Saccharomyces cerevisiae S288C: one gene and its partners. The gene in region 1 interacts genetically with each later gene. Each region holds a gene or a part of one and is shown on either strand. Other genes may lie near its edges. The genes, in order: ERF2, PLB2, ZNG1 and TCA17.

Region 1 (5,301 bases):
ATCATTAAGTGTGGACATTATTTTTGCAAGAGTTGTATCCTTACGTGGCTACGAGCCCATAGTAAATGCCCTATATGCAAAGGTTTCTGTAGTATATCGGAAGTCTATAACTTTAAGTTCAAGAACTCAACGGAGAAGAGGGAAAAAGAAATTCAAGAGCCACGAAGAGAGGGCGCCGATTCGTCTCAAGATAATTCAAATGAAAACTCGATTATATCCAATATGAGTGAAGTAGAAAAATTATTCGGAAATAAATACGAGCAATTCCATCAAATTAATGAAGTCCATCAAATTCACATAAAGGAAAGTTTTGGTGCTAAGATTGATTTCGTCATCAAGTTAATATCTTACCTGAGGCTAAAAAGTGAGCAGGAAAACGCTGATCCGCCACAAGTTATTCTATACTCTCAAAAGACAGAATATTTAAAGGTCATTGGTAAGGTATTAAAGTTGTATCACATTGAACACTTGGCATGTCTATCTAATACAGCCAATGTTGGCGAAACTATAAATAACTTCAAACGCCAGCCTTCCGTCACTTGCCTACTTTTGAATGTGAAAACTTTAGGTGCCGGCCTGAATTTGATAAATGCAAAACATATTTTCCTACTAGATCCTATCCTTAATAATAGTGATGAATTACAAGCTATGGGAAGGAATAATCGTATAGGACAAGATGAAGAAACTTTTGTGTGGAATTTCATGATCAGAAATACCGTTGAAGAAAACATCCTCAGATATAAATGTATACTCGAAGAGCGCAAAAGAAAGGAGAAGTCAAAAAAAGGCGATAAATACGACGAAGCACAAGATGAAACGGATAATGAGGAAAGCGATGATGCGAAGTTTGAGATAAGCGTGGTAGACCAAGAAGTCAGTAATGAACACTTATGGAACTGCTTTTTTCACGGTAGTGATTAGAGAAGTATGACTTTTAAACCAGACACTAATATATTAAAATATTTAATCTTTTGAATTTTTATATAAACGGTTGCCGTAATTACTATATATATATTCAATGGTAGGAAAAAAAGATGCTGCACGTTGTCTGACATCTGAAGAAGAGTGCTAATATGTAGCTTCAAAATTTTCGGAAGGCAAAAATAATGGTTGCTAAGAGATTCGAACTCTTGCATCTTACGATACCTGAGTATTCCTACAGTTAACTGCAGTCAAGATATTTTCTTGAATCAGGCGCCTTAGACCGCTCGGCCAAACAACCACTTATTTGTTGTAAAAGTTATACGAAAAGAACCTTTTAATGAATGTTTTTTTTAACATTCTAGCCAATTTCCAACGTTTATTTGCGTATACTCAACCTATACTATGGCGGAATTCACTCCTTTCAGTAACCTTTTTATATTTTACGTACTACTGTGTCGCTGAGTTCTTTATATCTATACTTCCTTATATTTTCTGTATTTTTTCAAAGCTGTGTGCTGGCGATAAATCCATAAATCTCCAATCTCCAGCTTCATGTGGCTTTCTGGCACTTACAAAGCTTGGGCCCCTTGGTTCTAACATCAAGTGACCCATATTTTTCAAAAAGGACCCCTTATTATATATGTTTTCCTCCTTGACCACACGATGGAATACAGGGTTTTTTTTCGATCCAATACCTTTCAAAAATTCCCTTGTTGTTTGCTGATTACCTGCCATAAATATGTGATAAGTAAACAGTATTGCCGGATACCATAAGGTTAGCCCTGCATAGCAAAGTAACAATATTGCAACGGGACAATCGCGAGGCCCCCCTGATTCCCGTGCAATATGGATGGCACAATTAGTTAATAATATGACGGACGAAAGTATTGCACCTAACAGGAATATTAAAAAGAACCGGTAGTTCCTTTTTCCTATGCAATTATTGACCCATATGCAATGGTGGTCATGAACCATTACGCAGACGTTACATGTGGAACAGTGAGAAGACCGAGGTGGTCTCCATATCCTACATGATGGACAATACTTGATAGTAATGTCTTTTGAAATTGAAGAATGTGTTGGTAGTGTTATCAAGTTGTAATATTCTTGCGGGATCTGATAATTATTTCTTAGTTGACTTAAATGAATATTTCTCGGAAGAACGCCAGGATCACTAGTGGCTGTTCTGATAAAGGATGCTAGCGTTATGACCCAAAAATAATAGAAGAAAATGACCAGCACTTTATAACCATTTTGGGTATGCCACAATTTGTGAGCCTCAAATATGGAGAAGAGAACCATGGGACATACAATAGCAAGGAGAACACCTAACCACAACGGTTTGGCGCCCTTTACTGTCCTGAACCTGCCACCAAGGAAGAATATATAATTCGAGACATTCGGTAACGATATATAACCTTTTCCATCGTTTATATCCTGATCACCCTCCAAGGTAACAAGCCATCGGAAGAACAACTTCGTCAATGAACCTTCTCCTGTATGCTCTTCCTTTGTTATTGAGGTGCTTTCCGATCTTGTCGACCTTCTAGAGACCAAGGCCATTATCTTCCCCGTTTCTCTTCTTGTTACCTTACGCTTTCTTTCCTTTACATTTTTATATTTGCAAACTGTAATCTTGATAAGGCGCTGCTCGCCAATTTCCGAGTAGTTTGACAAAATAAACACAAACTGTTTATGTACAAGAAACTAGGAAAACCAAACAGAGAATCTCAAGCAGAGAAATAAGGTAATGAAAGTAGGTGGCATAGAAGACAGACAACTGGAAGCCTTAAAAAGGGCGGCACTGAAGGCGTGTGAACTCTCCTATAGCCCCTATTCTCACTTCCGTGTCGGTTGTTCCATATTAACAAATAACGATGTTATCTTCACTGGTGCTAATGTCGAGAATGCAAGCTACAGTAATTGTATATGTGCAGAACGATCTGCTATGATACAAGTTCTAATGGCAGGCCATCGCTCAGGATGGAAATGCATGGTCATTTGTGGCGATTCTGAGGACCAGTGTGTTTCCCCTTGCGGCGTTTGCAGGCAGTTTATCAATGAATTTGTGGTCAAGGACTTTCCAATAGTCATGCTTAATTCCACAGGTTCTCGTTCTAAAGTCATGACAATGGGAGAACTGCTGCCCATGGCTTTTGGTCCATCTCATTTAAACTAGCAGCAATCTTTATTTGGCTGCTCCCCGAAAAGAAAGCGAAAATTTTTTACTTATTTTTTTTTTTTTTCATTTTTCATATAAAGAAGAAAAACTGATATTATTATTATTCATCCCAAGAACGCTATTGTGTATATTCCTAGCAAGAAAAAAATAAGCAAAAAAATTGTATAATGAGCACTGCAACTACAACAGTTACTACCTCCGATCAGGCTTCTCATCCTACCAAGATATATTGCTCCGGTTTGCAATGTGGTAGAGAAACTTCGTCCCAAATGAAATGCCCTGTTTGTCTAAAACAAGGCATCGTTTCCATTTTCTGCGACACAAGCTGTTATGAAAACAACTACAAAGCTCACAAAGCTTTGCACAATGCTAAGGACGGCTTGGAAGGTGCTTATGATCCTTTCCCAAAATTCAAATATTCTGGTAAAGTGAAGGCTTCATATCCACTTACCCCAAGAAGGTATGTCCCTGAAGATATTCCTAAACCGGACTGGGCCGCTAATGGGCTACCAGTCAGTGAACAAAGAAATGATAGACTTAACAACATCCCTATATACAAGAAAGATCAAATTAAGAAGATTAGAAAGGCATGTATGTTGGGTAGAGAAGTTCTTGATATTGCCGCTGCCCATGTCAGACCAGGCATCACTACAGATGAATTAGATGAAATCGTCCACAATGAAACAATTAAGAGAGGTGCCTACCCTTCCCCTCTTAATTATTACAACTTTCCTAAATCGCTTTGTACCTCTGTCAATGAAGTTATTTGTCACGGTGTGCCCGATAAAACTGTCTTGAAGGAAGGTGATATTGTCAATTTAGATGTTTCCTTATACTACCAAGGTTATCATGCAGACTTGAATGAGACATATTATGTCGGCGAAAACATTTCTAAGGAAGCTCTTAATACTACTGAGACCTCAAGAGAATGTTTGAAACTAGCCATTAAAATGTGTAAGCCAGGTACCACCTTCCAAGAGTTAGGTGATCATATTGAAAAACACGCTACCGAAAATAAGTGCAGTGTAGTAAGAACTTATTGTGGACATGGTGTTGGTGAATTTTTCCATTGTTCCCCAAATATTCCCCACTACGCCAAGAATAGAACACCTGGTGTTATGAAACCAGGTATGGTTTTCACCATCGAACCTATGATTAATGAAGGTACTTGGAAGGATATGACCTGGCCTGATGACTGGACTTCTACCACCCAAGACGGTAAACTGAGTGCTCAATTTGAACATACACTGTTGGTTACCGAACATGGTGTTGAAATCCTAACAGCCAGGAATAAGAAATCACCAGGTGGCCCAAGACAGAGAATTAAATAGATCTAGGTATTTTTATCTTATACATATAGAAACCAATAAAAAACTTGAACTTGTACTTTCCCGAGTCCGAATTGGTTATTATGAGAAGCTATTTTTTTTTTTTACCTCTTTTTATATGAATCAAGCGTACATAATTTTCTCTATAACTATTCTTCGACATCTATTTGGTCGTTAGGCTCTTTCTGTTCTTGTCCTTCTGCCCATTGTGTTATATCATCGACATACGATAATATGGTTTCTATACTGTCAGGATTATTAGATTCCAAAGGTAAAAATTGAACCATACCGAAATCATCGACGAGGTTGGCTATGCACTGGTTCAGTCTTAGAAATTTAGGGTTGGATGCTTGATTCATTCCTTCCGTTTCCATTAATAACATTGCATCGGGATTCAAAAATCTTTTCAGTTTTTTCTTATTGATGTCGCCTTTTATCAAGTCTAGTTTGCTCAACACATTGATATGGGGTAGTTCCAATAGAATCATCGCAGACATAGCAGATAGTGCACCGCTAAAAAATTTTGAGCTATCTATCACAAATGGCGCTTCCAAAAGATATGTGGCGCAAAGGTTGAAATTCAGTTGTTGAGTTAAATGGCGCACTATGTTCGGTAAGACAGGGATATGCGTGTAGAGTTCAATTTGACCGGGACAGTCAAAGATTAAATATTCATCGTTGAAATCCCCGATCTCTTCGTCAAGCCAGTCTAGATTTTTCAAAAGATATTCGAAGCAATATATTAGCGCACCATTGGGGCCCAAATCCATTTCTTCCATGACATCATCTAAGGAAATTAAATCTCTAATGTCAATAGTAAATTCATACTTGGTAGCTTCTGCGGCAGGGTCTAAATTTACAATATGA
Region 2 (5,890 bases), on another chromosome or scaffold:
GGTTTACGCCCTTATCTATAAAGGGAAATAACCTCATACAGTAACATGTCCGCTTATTCCCGCATATTTTTCTCAGTTAAGCAACATTCATTTACGTCTCCTATTTTTGCTTAGAAGATGACTTGGTTACTTTATTTTCTTCTAACTGCTTAGGTAAACTACATCATCTAATATATAAAGACGCTTCCACCACATTTAACCAACGGAAACGTCTCTTCGCTGTAAGGTTCTACATTTATTAGGTTATACTAACTAATCAATTCTTCGTTCTTTTCTTAACATTTCTCTCTTTTTTCGTTCATATAACGTAAATTACACGAAGCTATCCATCCTAAGGGCAAACGGGAAAGAAAATAAAACAAAACCATGAAGTTGCAGAGTTTGTTGGTTTCTGCTGCAGTTTTGACTTCTCTAACAGAGAACGTTAACGCTTGGTCACCAAATAACAGTTACGTCCCTGCGAACGTAACCTGTGATGATGATATTAACTTAGTCAGAGAAGCATCTGGTTTGTCAGATAACGAAACAGAATGGCTGAAAAAAAGAGATGCATACACCAAGGAGGCTTTGCATTCTTTTTTGAATAGGGCCACTTCGAATTTCAGTGACACTTCCTTGCTATCCACTCTTTTTGGTAGCAACTCTTCCAATATGCCTAAGATTGCCGTCGCCTGTTCTGGTGGTGGTTACCGTGCCATGTTGTCTGGTGCTGGTATGCTTGCTGCTATGGACAATCGTACTGATGGCGCAAATGAGCATGGTCTTGGTGGGCTGCTGCAAGGTGCAACTTACTTGGCAGGTCTGTCGGGTGGTAACTGGTTAACAAGTACTTTGGCTTGGAACAACTGGACGTCTGTGCAAGCTATCGTGGATAATACAACAGAATCTAACTCAATTTGGGACATCTCTCATTCAATTCTTACCCCAGACGGCATTAACATCTTTAAGACTGGGAGTAGATGGGACGACATATCAGATGACGTTCAGGATAAAAAAGACGCCGGTTTCAACATCTCTTTGGCGGATGTTTGGGGCCGTGCTCTTGCGTACAATTTTTGGCCAAGCTTACACCGTGGTGGTGTAGGGTACACATGGTCAACTTTAAGGGAAGCTGATGTCTTCAAGAATGGAGAAATGCCCTTCCCTATCACTGTTGCAGACGGTAGATACCCAGGTACCACCGTGATAAACTTGAATGCCACTCTTTTCGAATTTAATCCCTTTGAAATGGGTTCATGGGACCCCACTTTGAACGCATTTACGGATGTGAAGTATTTAGGTACCAACGTTACAAACGGTAAACCAGTTAATAAAGGCCAATGCATTGCCGGGTTTGATAACACTGGTTTCATAACAGCCACTTCATCTACGTTGTTTAACCAATTTTTACTAAGATTGAATTCTACCGATTTACCTTCATTTATTGCTAACTTAGCCACCGATTTCCTGGAAGATTTATCCGACAATAGTGACGATATTGCAATTTACGCCCCAAATCCATTCAAGGAAGCTAATTTTCTTCAAAAGAACGCAACCTCCAGTATTATCGAATCAGAATATCTATTTTTGGTTGATGGTGGTGAAGATAACCAAAATATTCCTTTAGTTCCATTGTTGCAAAAGGAACGTGAACTAGATGTTATTTTTGCATTAGACAATTCTGCTGATACTGACGACTATTGGCCAGATGGTGCTTCATTAGTTAACACTTATCAGCGTCAATTTGGCAGCCAAGGTCTCAATTTGTCTTTCCCATATGTTCCAGATGTGAACACATTTGTCAACTTGGGGTTGAACAAAAAGCCAACCTTTTTTGGTTGTGATGCAAGAAATTTGACAGACTTGGAGTACATTCCACCATTAATTGTTTACATTCCAAATTCAAGACATTCATTTAATGGTAACCAAAGTACTTTTAAGATGTCATACTCCGATTCAGAACGTCTTGGTATGATTAAGAATGGGTTTGAAGCTGCCACAATGGGTAATTTTACTGATGATTCTGATTTCTTGGGCTGTGTTGGTTGCGCCATTATCAGACGTAAGCAACAAAACTTGAATGCTACATTGCCCTCTGAATGCAGCCAGTGTTTTACCAACTACTGCTGGAACGGTACTATTGACAGCAGGTCAGTCTCAGGTGTAGGAAATGATGATTATTCTTCTTCTGCTTCCTTGTCTGCCTCCGCCGCTGCTGCCTCTGCCTCTGCCTCTGCCTCTGCTTCCGCCTCTGCCTCTGCTTCTGGGTCTTCCACTCATAAGAAAAATGCGGGCAATGCTTTGGTGAATTATTCTAACTTAAACACTAACACTTTTATTGGTGTCTTAAGTGTCATTAGTGCCGTCTTCGGTCTAATTTAGGCTCTTTCTTCGTTTCTATTTCTTTTCTAAAAGAATACGAGAGTGAGAAAAGCGCAAAAATATCAACATACAAATAGTTTACGAGATCTCAAGTGCATACCGCATCTTATTTTTACAAACTCGAAATCTTACGAGCATTAACATTTACATACCGGGTGTCTTCCCTACATATATCTATCTATACAGATATGTTCATGCAGTACTTTCATCGAAGATATATAGATAGGTTTAAAGTGCAGAAGGAAAAAGCTAGGATTGCAGATATGCCATCTGCAGGCCAAATTTCACTTCCACATATCTGCACTGTTCATGAAAATGATCAGTTTCTTTCTTTCTTGCAGCTTTAGATAATCTGGTTTTTCTGCTTTTACACCTTAGAGATGAATCAAAGACACTCAATTCGGTTATACGACAAAGGGCGAACACAATGATGATTCTCACGACTAAATTAAGGACATACTTTTCAATGGTGATGCCTATAGAGAATTTACCGTCGCACCCAATGCAGCCGGTCTGGCCAAACTGGGAAATAAGGTTTTTCTTGGCTCGTATACGCCTTCGAAAAGCTCCTACAAAGGGACGCGTCGCCTTTTTCAACAATTTTTTACCTTGCGGACATTTCTTCCGCATATTCTCCACCTTGGCATTGTTTACCAACAGAAGAAAGTGAAAAAAAAATCAAAAAAAAGGTAAAAAAAGGACAAAGAGTTAAATAGTCTGAGAATCTTCTTCTTTTCGTATCTCATGTGGAGTAGAATATACCTTATATATGAGCACAATTAGTTATCTTTACAAGGCGTTAGAAATGTCTTTTAGCTTGTTTTTCCTTAGTGTGCCTTCAAATCTTATCAAGGGTTAGAAGTGAGTTAAAATTCACTCGCGCTGGTAAAGTAACACTTCTTACGCAGATGCAATTACGGAACATATTACAGGCTAGCTCGCTAATTTCTGGACTTTCGCTCGCTGCAGATTCGTCGTCCACTACTGGTGATGGTTATGCTCCATCAATAATTCCTTGTCCCAGTGATGATACCTCTTTAGTTAGAAACGCGTCTGGCTTATCTACCGCTGAAACTGATTGGTTAAAGAAAAGAGATGCGTACACTAAAGAAGCTTTACATTCCTTCTTAAGCAGAGCTACTTCTAACTTCAGTGACACTTCTTTGCTATCCACTCTTTTCAGTAGTAACTCTTCCAATGTACCCAAAATTGGTATTGCATGCTCTGGTGGTGGTTATCGTGCCATGTTGGGTGGTGCTGGTATGATTGCTGCTATGGACAATCGTACTGATGGTGCTAACGAGCATGGTCTTGGTGGTTTACTACAAAGTTCCACGTATCTATCGGGTTTGTCCGGTGGTAACTGGTTGACTGGTACTTTGGCATGGAACAATTGGACCTCTGTACAGGAAATTGTAGACCATATGAGTGAGAGCGATTCCATCTGGAATATCACGAAATCCATTGTGAACCCTGGTGGCTCTAATTTGACCTACACAATTGAAAGATGGGAGTCCATTGTACAAGAAGTGCAGGCTAAGTCTGATGCAGGCTTCAATATATCTTTGTCGGATTTGTGGGCCCGTGCACTTTCTTACAACTTCTTTCCAAGCTTGCCAGATGCTGGCTCCGCTTTGACTTGGTCCTCTTTGAGAGATGTTGATGTGTTCAAAAACGGTGAAATGCCTTTACCAATTACTGTTGCAGATGGTAGATACCCAGGTACCACCGTGATAAACTTGAATGCCACTCTTTTCGAGTTCACTCCATTTGAAATGGGTTCTTGGGATCCTTCTTTGAACGCTTTTACGGATGTGAAATATCTAGGTACCAACGTTACAAATGGTAAACCGGTCAACAAGGATCAATGCGTTTCTGGTTACGATAATGCTGGATTTGTAATTGCCACATCCGCCAGTTTATTCAACGAATTTTCCCTGGAAGCTTCCACTTCGACCTATTATAAAATGATTAATAGTTTTGCCAACAAGTACGTTAACAACCTATCCCAAGATGACGATGATATTGCAATTTACGCTGCAAATCCATTCAAGGATACAGAATTTGTTGACCGCAATTACACTTCCAGTATTGTTGATGCCGATGATTTGTTTTTAGTTGATGGTGGTGAGGACGGCCAAAATTTGCCGTTGGTTCCACTAATCAAGAAGGAACGTGACTTGGATGTGGTGTTCGCATTGGATATATCCGACAATACTGATGAATCATGGCCAAGTGGTGTGTGCATGACGAACACTTATGAGCGCCAGTATTCTAAGCAAGGTAAAGGAATGGCTTTCCCATATGTTCCAGACGTTAACACCTTCCTTAACTTGGGCTTAACTAATAAGCCAACGTTTTTTGGTTGTGATGCAAAAAATTTGACGGACTTGGAGTATATTCCACCTTTAGTTGTATATATCCCAAACACAAAACATTCATTCAATGGTAACCAAAGTACTTTGAAGATGAACTACAATGTTACAGAACGTCTTGGAATGATCAGAAATGGTTTTGAAGCTGCTACAATGGGCAACTTTACGGATGACTCTAACTTTTTAGGTTGCATAGGTTGTGCCATCATTAGACGTAAGCAAGAAAGCCTAAATGCCACCTTGCCCCCTGAATGTACCAAATGTTTTGCGGATTACTGCTGGAACGGCACACTAAGTACCTCAGCTAATCCTGAACTATCGGGAAATAGTACGTATCAAAGCGGTGCTATTGCCTCTGCAATCTCTGAGGCTACTGACGGTATTCCAATAACGGCTCTCTTAGGTTCATCAACCTCCGGAAATACTACATCAAACTCAACAACCTCGACTTCATCAAATGTCACTTCTAACTCAAACTCTTCGTCAAATACAACTTTAAACTCAAATTCTTCATCCTCTTCAATTTCTTCCTCTACAGCTCGTTCTTCTTCCTCTACGGCAAACAAAGCGAATGCTGCGGCTATTTCCTATGCGAACACTAATACTCTAATGAGTTTGTTAGGTGCCATAACAGCATTATTTGGACTAATTTAGAAGCCCTTCTGAGAAACAATACATAATACATCCTTTCACCCAAAAGGATAATGACAAGTAAATGTATAAAAATGTGTATTAATATGAAAATTTTTTTCCCGATTATCACTCCTCTTTCCGCTATTTTTGGTAGAAGGATGCCTAACTTCAAGGATTGATATATCTTCCTTATTATAAAGTTAAAATGAACAAAGCAAAAAGGTTGAATGGTCCTCAATAGCTTGGCGATGACTTGACTAAGCGACACCAACCGGCCTTCTTTATGTTAGTCAATCTTGTTTTTTTTATATCCTAGTTTATTTGAAACACTATACCTTTAAATATTATAGACAGTATAAGAGATGAGCAATTAATCTCTGATCTTGGCATAACCCTTTGAAATAATAGTCTGAACGCTGTTGCGCCTATTTTCGAGAGCAAAGAGTAAATCCCTCATTACTATACCAGGCTCCTCTCTAGCTTCTCTAAACTTTAGCCCACTTTCTCCTCTAGCCGTGATG
Region 3 (4,394 bases), on another chromosome or scaffold:
TGGAATTGACGTTAGCTATTATCAATCAGTTTTTTCATCTTGTTTGATTCTCTTATAGGTGAAGAAGACATCGCTTTTAACAATCGAATTGGCCGTCAATTCTTTCAAAAAAACGGTAGGGGTCTTGTCGAAAATGATCTGTTTGAGTAGAGACAAAACATTCACTCTCTCTTGGAAAACAAAGTTCTTAATGTAGGTTGGGTCAAATCCAGTAAACATCTTTGTTGTGTTAACTAGCTCCCAATGGTTGGTAGTCTTATTCTCGAATGGCAATTGAGAGGCGGTTGGCTCGTGGGTGATCAAGAAATCAAAGGAGGGCCACATTTCCTGCAGTAAAGTCGTATTTTCAGTCTTATCGTAATTGATGCCGTACACACCGTAGTTCAATTCACCAAATAAAGTGACACCTGTCATGCAAGGAGGTATGCTGATATGAACTGTAGCGTTTGTAATATTTTTTTCCACAATCATGTCATTAAAAGAAGTTAAAGCCTCGCCGCCTGGATAATTCATTCTTGATATATACAAGAACGCCATTGAAATGAAAAAGGAGGTCATTATAGATAAGGGCAATATAGCCAAACATAAAACATTGGTAATCTTTTTTACTTTCATATTCTCCCATAGATGTGCTGCTCCTGTGGCACCTAGCAACATGATAGATGGAACAGCGTAGATGATGAATCTCCATTCTTTGTGAGGTTGAAAGGATAAGACGATAATGTGGAAAAGAGATGCTAGTGAGACAATTTTTAATTTTGCAGGTGCTAATTTATAGCCGAAGTAATTCAATAGTAAAACAGTTGGTGGCATAAACATCATTCTCAAGTAATGCGTGAAATAAGCAGTAACTGGCTCCACACCCCACTTGGAAGCGTAACCCGCAACCACGTTGAACAAGAAACCATCTACCTCAGGTAGACACCATTCTTGCCAGAAATATGAATCAACGGTGATACTGATGGCGGAACCAAGTCCCAAGCCAAAGATACCGAATTTGATAGCATCGAATAAAGAAATCTTCTTGAAGATGACGCTAAATAGAGCAATACCAGCACTGAGAGCTGACACTTCCAGTCTAAATACAATTGCCACGAGCGCAGATAGGAATATAGCTGCATTATAACGACCCAATAAAACCCACCCCAATGCGACGTTGGTTAGAGGCAGAGTCATGACAAAATTAGGCAGAGTCCTAGTGCTGTAGAACATGAGGTGGAAACTGCCAATTAAAAATAAAAGAAACCATGTACCAGCGCTATCGTAAATGTATATATCCTTGTCTTCATTTTCTTCCTTTTTCTTTTCAGTGATTTCATCAAACATATCTTGCAAACAATTCTTTAAATAGATAAAAGAAAGCCCATTGGTGAGGCCAACAATCCCCCTAACGACCAATTGAACATCTATAGACGTAGGCCTGGAAGTTTGGATCAAAGAACTCAAGTAAAGATAAGGTCTCGAAAGCATTGCAATAATCACAGCACCAACGAATGTTCTAGGGACTACTCCAGGAAATTTCAAGTGGTCATATTGGGAGATATCAAATACGCTGTAGGTTAAAATATCATGAATGGCTTGAATATTAAAACTCTCTTCCACCTTGGTGAATGGAGCTTGGATTAGATGAAAGGAAATCACGGTCAATAGCACTGTATCAAGGACAGACCAACGCATTGTCAACTGAATCGTTGTTTAATGGCTTTATTCAACTCTTTTAACAACACTAATCGTTAATGGTTTCACTTGCTATTAGTAAATTCCTTGCGTTATAAACTGTGAAGTGCCACGACATTTAATGCCGGCTGGTAAAAGGTTGTTCATTTTTAAGGGCCGAATTTTTCATTTTCATTTTCATTTTTTTTTTTTTTTCACTATTGGAATAACATGTATATTATAAATATTATATAATATTAAATGTTTAATGCGCTTGTAAAGCCAAGAACACCCTTTTCATTGAGGAATTTTCAACTTTTAAAGCGGAAGAATGTCTGCATTGAGAAACATCAAGTTCAATGAAGAAGAAGATGGTGAACTACCCTGCCTCGTAACAGGTGAAGAAAATAATCTACAAGAAATTTTGGAAAATGTCTCGTATGATGGTGGAAATATTGTTAGCGATGCAAAAGTTGAAAGGGTAAACAAGCAAGTGGAGAACACTTCTGCAGGCGCAACAGATGTGCACGAGAAAAAGCGTATTCCTGTGAGCATTATTACCGGCTATCTAGGATCAGGTAAATCGACGTTGCTGGAAAAAATTGCATTAAAAGGTGCAGATAAAAAAATTGCCGTAATTTTAAATGAATTTGGAGATTCTAGTGAAATCGAAAAGGCTATGACCATTAAAAATGGATCGAACAGCTACCAAGAATGGTTGGATTTGGGTAACGGGTGTCTGTGTTGTTCGTTGAAAAATATAGGTGTTAAAGCCATCGAAGATATGGTGGAGCGTTCACCTGGTAAAATCGATTATATCCTTTTAGAGACCTCCGGTATTGCAGATCCCGCCCCCATTGCGAAAATGTTCTGGCAGGACGAAGGATTGAATAGCAGCGTTTACATTGACGGGATCATCACGGTTTTGGATTGTGAGCATATACTAAAATGCTTAGATGATATTTCCATCGATGCCCATTGGCATGGTGACAAAGTTGGTTTGGAGGGGAATCTGACTATTGCACACTTCCAACTAGCCATGGCTGATCGAATTATAATGAACAAATACGATACTATCGAACATTCACCAGAAATGGTCAAACAATTAAAAGAAAGAGTACGGGAAATAAATTCTATCGCACCGATGTTCTTCACCAAGTATAGTGATACGCCGATTCAAAATTTACTAGATATTCATGCATACGACAGTGTACGGATATCTGACATCTTAGATAGTGGTAGCGGAAACGGTACCATTCATGATGATCGAATGGGCACAATAATGCTTACTTTCAGACCATTAAAAAACGAGGAAGAATATAATAATAAGTTTATTAAGCAATTTTTGCAACCTTTATTGTGGAAGAATTTTGGAGCCATGACAGTGCTGGGAGGGCGTCGCCGAGATGACGGCCGTGATTGGGAAGTACAAAGAACTAAAGGTCTGATACTTATTGAAGGAGAGAACCCCATTGCTCGTGTAATCCAAGGCGTCCGCGACACCTACGATGTCTTTCCAGGCAAATATGACGGATCCAATAAAGAGTGTAAAATTGTGCTGATTGGGAAGTACCTAGAAAAGGAATCCATAGAGGAACTGTTACGTAAAACCCTGGAATGATGGTTGGCATAATAAAGACGAGGTAAGTTATGTATATTTATACGTATGTATGTGATACAAAATGAATGAATATTAAGCGGATGGATCGAAACATTTTAATCCTCTCTAATAGAAACTATTTTAGACGATCTGTTGAATATTCTTTTCCTGTACTTGGCCAAAACGTAGAAAAGTAACAATACCGAAATACCAAGCATAATCTTTGGTAAAGGATGGTGAAGCTGATTATATTTTGCGTCTTCTAACTTTCTTTGACTACCCTGGTATAAATAATTCTTCAATGTAATACCTTTCTCCAAATCGCCGTTTTGGTAATCTTGAAGCCTTTGTAAATACTTTTCGTGAGCTTCCTTTGCATGCTGAATCCTGTGTTCCTGGGATGAAATGTAACCTATTGTTATTGGTTGCTCTGGTTTGCCATTTTCGTCAGTTTTCACATTAGCTAGTTTATCCATCAGATCTTTTAACCCGGCGGTAACTTGGCCAAACACAACACTTTCACCTTCAAGTGGCGTCTCACTGGTCTCAATTATAAACTTAAGACCCTTATCGTCCTTAATCATGGAAACTCTGCCTGGCCTATCATGAATTAAACTATGATTTTCTTCCGGGAGTTTTGGAGCCAACATTTCCGTTTCTTCAATAGAGGAGGAAGAAACGGAGCTACCTTCTATAGCTCCATTCGGTAGAATTTTATCAAAATCGCGTTCTGGCGAGTAACTGTGACGGGAAGCAAGGCGATCTTTTACACTATCAACATACTGGCAAAAAGTCATTACTGTCTTGGGCACCATAGTCCCGTATAAGTCTATTGTTATGAGACGGCCGGCTTCTTCCGAACTTTCAGGATCTGTGAAAACAATTCCGATGTTTACATTATGTGTAATAGGAGGGTCTGGTGCGTATTTTTTCTTTAGGTCTAAGGAGTCTGAAGAAGCCCTTTTGTTATCCACAGGTAATGGCAGAGCCGTTATGCAACTAAACATGAATGCCACATAAAGATAAAGAAAAAAGCTCTTCATTGGGAACCAATGTATACAAATTGTAATAATCTTTCAATTGTGATACTGAATATGAATAGTCTTCTTTATTTATCTACTGCAGTAGTTGATTCTAT
Region 4 (4,735 bases), on another chromosome or scaffold:
GCTAGCTCTAAACGGCTGCAAAAACTAATTCCTTGAAACAATGTGCCATTAATTATCTAACGCGTGCTTCGTCCTACTGATTATTATCCCTTATTCGTTTGATTCACATAGTAGACAACTCTTGATCACCCATATAGTACCAGACGACGCTAATTCAAAATTAATCGACATTACGCATGTTTCTAATTTGGGAAAAAAAGGCCAAGCTCCGATATCCCGTTTAAGGTCAACGCTTGAACAGTGGTTTCTGAACGAACACTCATATCATATTACTTCGACTCAACTGCTGAGCTAGCAGACTGGAAATATTTCAGGGACTCAAAAAAGGTTCAACTAGTCTCCACTGTAAGCACATTCTTGCATTCTGAATATACGAATGAGTATCATTAACTCAAAACCGCGCCCTCTTATACGAGACCTCCAAAAATGGATCGTTCATGAGTAAAGGCATCTCAATAACAATAGCAATAACAATAATGTTCATGAGGTGAAAGGTGGCCCCTCGTTCATGTAAGAGAAGCTGGCCGAGAAATTCATATAAATTGAACTGCTTTGGTTACCTCTCTTTGGTATATGCCTCCACTCTTCTCTTCCTAGTTAAGCTTATATCAGCACAAACAAAACAAATAAAATGGTCAAATTAACTTCAATTGCCGCTGGTGTTGCCGCCATCGCTGCTACTGCTTCCGCAACCACCACTCTAGCTCAATCTGACGAAAGAGTCAACTTGGTTGAATTGGGTGTCTACGTATCTGATATCAGAGCTCATTTGGCTCAATACTACTCTTTCCAAGCTGCTCACCCAACTGAAACCTACCCAATTGAAGTTGCTGAGGCCGTTTTCAACTACGGTGACTTCACCACCATGTTGACTGGTATTGCCCCAGACCAAGTGACCAGAATGATCACCGGTGTTCCATGGTACTCCAGCAGATTAAAGCCAGCCATTTCCAGTGCTCTATCCAAGGACGGTATCTACACTATCGCAAACTAGAGACAAACGCCAATTTAATGAAGGAAATGCTATGAAACTTAGATAATGAAATAAAAAAAAACCCTTTTTTTTTTTTTGGTAGTATAAATATCTTTATACGTACATACGTGAACAATCACATCATATCTGTCAATTCTCGTTGTAACCATAACCTAGCACTTATTTCAGACTTTCCAAAGGTCGCAGTATCTTTATGACGAGCCATCCCATGTAAAAATTGCCGTGCCGGATATGAAGTGACAAAGATCAGTCTATATCTCGGAAAGCCAACAAATATCTTCATTATGAAGTAACGTATAGTGATTGCTTCCACATCTGTTCAATTCGGACAATTTTCGTTAGCAGTAGAGTCAAAGCGATCGCCTTAATTGTCTCCGTATCTTATTTATTCATGAACAGCATGACAATTGACAGTCACTTGAATGAAGTAGAAAGTTTGATTGTCACGGTCATCTGAGATATACTACCGGCACCTGATCCCCGCTAATTAGGCAAGGCGAAACTGTCACCAAGTTGGACATATTAGACATTAATAACTTCTCTGAATCGCTCTCACTCCAAAGCAGTGACATTAAATTTTGCTTTCATTCGTGAAAGAATCGACTAATAAATTATCATTTATAATTCAACTTCAGTTGAAATAAACAACTCATCAAATTTTCTTTCCAAGCTTTTTATAATGGACTTTTCGTCACCGCTAACAAGTAAAGGATTACATTTGACACGTATATAGATTTTTCTTACGGTTTCGAAAATCTGATTGATTGCTTCAAATTCATCATCAGCTCCACTTAGGCTTTTTTGTTCAAATCCAATGACAATCTTCAGGCCCGTCTGCTTAATCAACATAGCAAATACAGAGACACCTTCCAATTGAAAAATTGACTTCAGAAGAGGTTTGGAATCTAAAGAATGCCATTCAACCAAAGCACTTTCAAAATAATCTAACGATATGTTAGAAAGCACGTTATATTTGAGTACATCATTCATCTCATTCTCCGCCTCATTAGGGACGTAAATCAATATAGGTTTATCAGATTCATCTATCAATGATACGAAGCAAGGCCTCAAGCTCATAGTTTGGTGATATAAACGTACAATTTGATTTTTGGAGAGAATATTTACTCAATTTTCAACTCAATAACTTTTATGTAAAATGTTTCTTGGCCGTCGATGAGCTCTTCCGGCAGAACTTCGAAAGTGAAAAAAAAAAAAAAAAAAAAATAATAATAATATTAATACTACTTATATACTATTAAAAAATCGTTTAGAAATGATTCATTTATAAAATTCGTTACTTGCGGTCATTGGCAATAGATTCAGCTGCGGTTCTCCCAAAGACAACGCATTCTAACAAACTTGAACCACCCAACCTATTGGCGCCATGAACACCGCCAGAAACTTCACCGGCCGCGTACAGGCCTTTTAGTAGCCTTTCGTCGTTCTTGCCAATGACTTGAGCCTTGACATTGATTCTAGCACCACCCATGGTGAAATGGACAACCGGTGTTACTTCACCAATAAAAACCACAGTTTCTGGAGTAACGTCAGAGCCAAATTCGTTGAGAATAACGGTACGTCCCAACGGATCAGCCTTGGTAGTGAAGGAAGAGTATGTTTGCAATTCCTCGCATAATTGGGCGACAGTGATTGGTAAATTATATTCAGAAACAACTTGAGATAATGTCAATTTCTGTACAAGTTTCTTGAACATGTAAAAATCTAAATTATTCTTCAAATCTGTGTACATTTTTTCGCCCATAACCAATAGTGCTCTGTTATCCTCTTGAGGACAAACCTTTTGAATAGCTGCAGTGACTACATCTCTTGTGGTCAATTCGTTGACAAATCTTCTACCGGTAATAGGGTTTAATAGGATACCACCAAGACCTCTTAAGGATTCGGCAGCCAAGAATTTCCAGCTTGAGCTACGGTCATTTGGATCAATGAACCCAGTTGGATGAACTTGAATTTGGTCCATGTCAATCAGATCAGCGCCTAACTTCTGCAGAAGCCTTTGACCATCACCAGTTGTTTGTTGCCCGTTTGTTGTTGGCAAGTTCACCAGTTCGGGTGCGTATTCTTTAAGCATTTCCTTAGAAAAGCCAAACCCTCCAGAACAAAAAACGACATCGTTAGCACTCACCATGTGCTTTTCGCCATTCTTGTCCTCGTACACTACAGCAGAAATGGAGCCATCCTTTTCATGGATGTCTACGACTTTACTGTCTAAGTTAATCTTAACTAACTCTGGTTTAGTCTCAGCTAATTTCTTCAAATTGTTAGATAAGGCAGAAACAATTTCGAAACCTGGAGGCAACTTCCCAGACGATCTGTGAGTTCTTGCCACAGAGTGGCCACCCAATTGAGCCAATAGGTCCAATTTCAAATCAAATTCGTTTTTCAACCATTCAATAGCCAGGGGAGAATCATTGGCCAACTTAGCCATTAATTCTTGGACACCTTTACCTTTAGCAGACTTGATGGTGTCATCTTCAAATAAGCGTGGGGAGTCCTCGATGTGGAAGTGACGTTGAGTCTCGGTGCAAGCACCGTTAATACCACTGGAGGCCTTGATAGAGTTCCCACCGATCGAGGAAGCCTTTTCGAGGATGGTTACAGGGATGTTATACTTGTTAACCAATTCATTGGCAGCAGCCAGCCCGGCCAAACCGGTTCCAATAACAACAACGGGAGAGAGAGACATTTACAATTACGGATGAGGGGTTGTTGAAGTGAAGATAAGAAAAAAAAATGGGGTGCTATGTCAGCGTATTGTTCTCAGCTTTTATACGTGCAATAGATTAAGCTGTTCAGGAACGCGACGCGTTGCCCCCGTTACCGTTTGAAAAGAAAAAAATTTTCTTTTTCATACCTGTCTCTATTGTTTCAGTCATTCACTGCATGATGACAAATGAAAGAAGAAAGACAATAGTAGTAAAAGCAAAAAAGGAATTAAAGTGAACGTTTTTTAGACTCTTACGCATACATATAAATATATATATATATTTGTATAAAAGGTGTACGTCGAAATCCTGTGAAGAAACCCTGCGAGAATATACATGGGTACATTCAATCTTAATACGTAGTATCGTAGAATACAAAGAAATGTGCTTCTCCACGTGGATACGTACCGTTGTAAACTTTAATCAAGTACCAAAAAAACCAAACATATTCAGTCGATCTCTCAATGGGGAACAAAGAAAAGAGGTTCTTACCTTTTTTTCCTCCTTCCCTCAGAAAGACCACCTTCGTCCCTCCATAATAGGGTAGTTAGTCGCTAGGTGCGCTGGAAACTAACCATTGGTTCTCAAATGTGCCGACATAATTAGTTATAATTATGGTGTGAGAGTTGAAATATCCTTGAATAACAAAACAGAAAAAAGAAAAAACCCATTTGAATATAAAAATCATTGATGCAAAAGAAAGCCGTTAAATCTACAATGCCACGAAATTATTGTAATGTATGAAAAAAAGGAAGAGGGTAGCAATCCTAAAACAAAAACCCTAACAATACACATGATGCAACTGGAACGCATCAGTATTTGTAGGTTTTTATTTCGCGGATAGCGTTGCCATCAACGTCGACCTCGGTGGATTCACTACGGTAAATCTGGGTAGGTCCGTTACAGTCGAAAGGATGTTCTTTAGCATAGTCGAAGGCCTCGGAGATGGCCAATTTGACTTTTTCCAAAGTATCTCTGGTGACTTGATAGTGGAACGAGACTCTACCACCCATTA

What was found.
Region 2: mutations in ERF2 (region 1) and PLB2 together harm fitness less than expected from each alone (positive genetic interaction), as found in Saccharomyces cerevisiae (one large-scale study listed by BioGRID).
Region 3: mutations in ERF2 (region 1) and ZNG1 together harm fitness more than expected from each alone (negative genetic interaction), as found in Saccharomyces cerevisiae (2 studies listed by BioGRID).
Region 4: mutations in ERF2 (region 1) and TCA17 together harm fitness more than expected from each alone (negative genetic interaction), as found in Saccharomyces cerevisiae (one large-scale study listed by BioGRID).

The regions. Positions count from the first base shown.
Region 1 is NC_001144.5:624,304-629,604, reverse strand, and holds ERF2 (palmitoyltransferase ERF2), read right to left. Parts: upstream 2,488-5,301; coding exon 1,408-2,487; downstream 1-1,407. Other genes in the region: E3 ubiquitin-protein ligase IRC20, read left to right, coding at 1-921; CDD1 (cytidine deaminase), read left to right, coding at 2,675-3,103; methionine aminopeptidase MAP1, read left to right, coding at 3,274-4,437; putative signal sequence-binding GTPase GPN3, read right to left, coding at 4,584-5,301. UniProt on the Saccharomyces cerevisiae protein: The ERF2-SHR5 complex is a palmitoyltransferase specific for Ras proteins. Palmitoylates RAS2, which is required for its proper plasma membrane localization.
Region 2 is NC_001145.3:277,061-282,950, reverse strand, and holds PLB2 (lysophospholipase), read left to right. Parts: upstream 1-3,269; coding exon 3,270-5,390; downstream 5,391-5,890. Other genes in the region: PLB1 (lysophospholipase), read left to right, coding at 367-2,361; YMR007W (uncharacterized protein), read right to left, coding at 2,611-2,991; TAF4 (Taf4p), read right to left, coding at 5,740-5,890. UniProt on the Saccharomyces cerevisiae protein: Sequentially removes both fatty acyl groups from diacylglycerophospholipids and therefore has both phospholipase A and lysophospholipase activities. However, it does not display transacylase activity.
Region 3 is NC_001146.8:676,082-680,475, reverse strand, and holds ZNG1 (GTP-dependent zinc transferase), read left to right. Parts: upstream 1-1,987; coding exon 1,988-3,277; downstream 3,278-4,394. Other genes in the region: ALG12 (dolichyl-P-Man:Man(7)GlcNAc(2)-PP-dolichol alpha-1,6-mannosyltransferase), read right to left, coding at 22-1,677; peptidylprolyl isomerase family protein CPR8, read right to left, coding at 3,373-4,299. UniProt on the Saccharomyces cerevisiae protein: Zinc chaperone that directly transfers zinc cofactor to target metalloproteins, thereby activating them.
Region 4 is NC_001137.3:63,097-67,831, forward strand, and holds TCA17 (Tca17p), read right to left. Parts: upstream 2,072-4,735; coding exon 1,613-2,071; downstream 1-1,612. Other genes in the region: seripauperin PAU2, read left to right, coding at 632-994; FRD1 (fumarate reductase), read right to left, coding at 2,289-3,701; threonine aldolase GLY1, read right to left, coding at 4,533-4,735. UniProt on the Saccharomyces cerevisiae protein: Required, together with the TRAPP II subunit TRS33, for TRAPP II complex assembly or stability, and for proper Golgi localization of TRAPP and the Rab GTPase YPT31.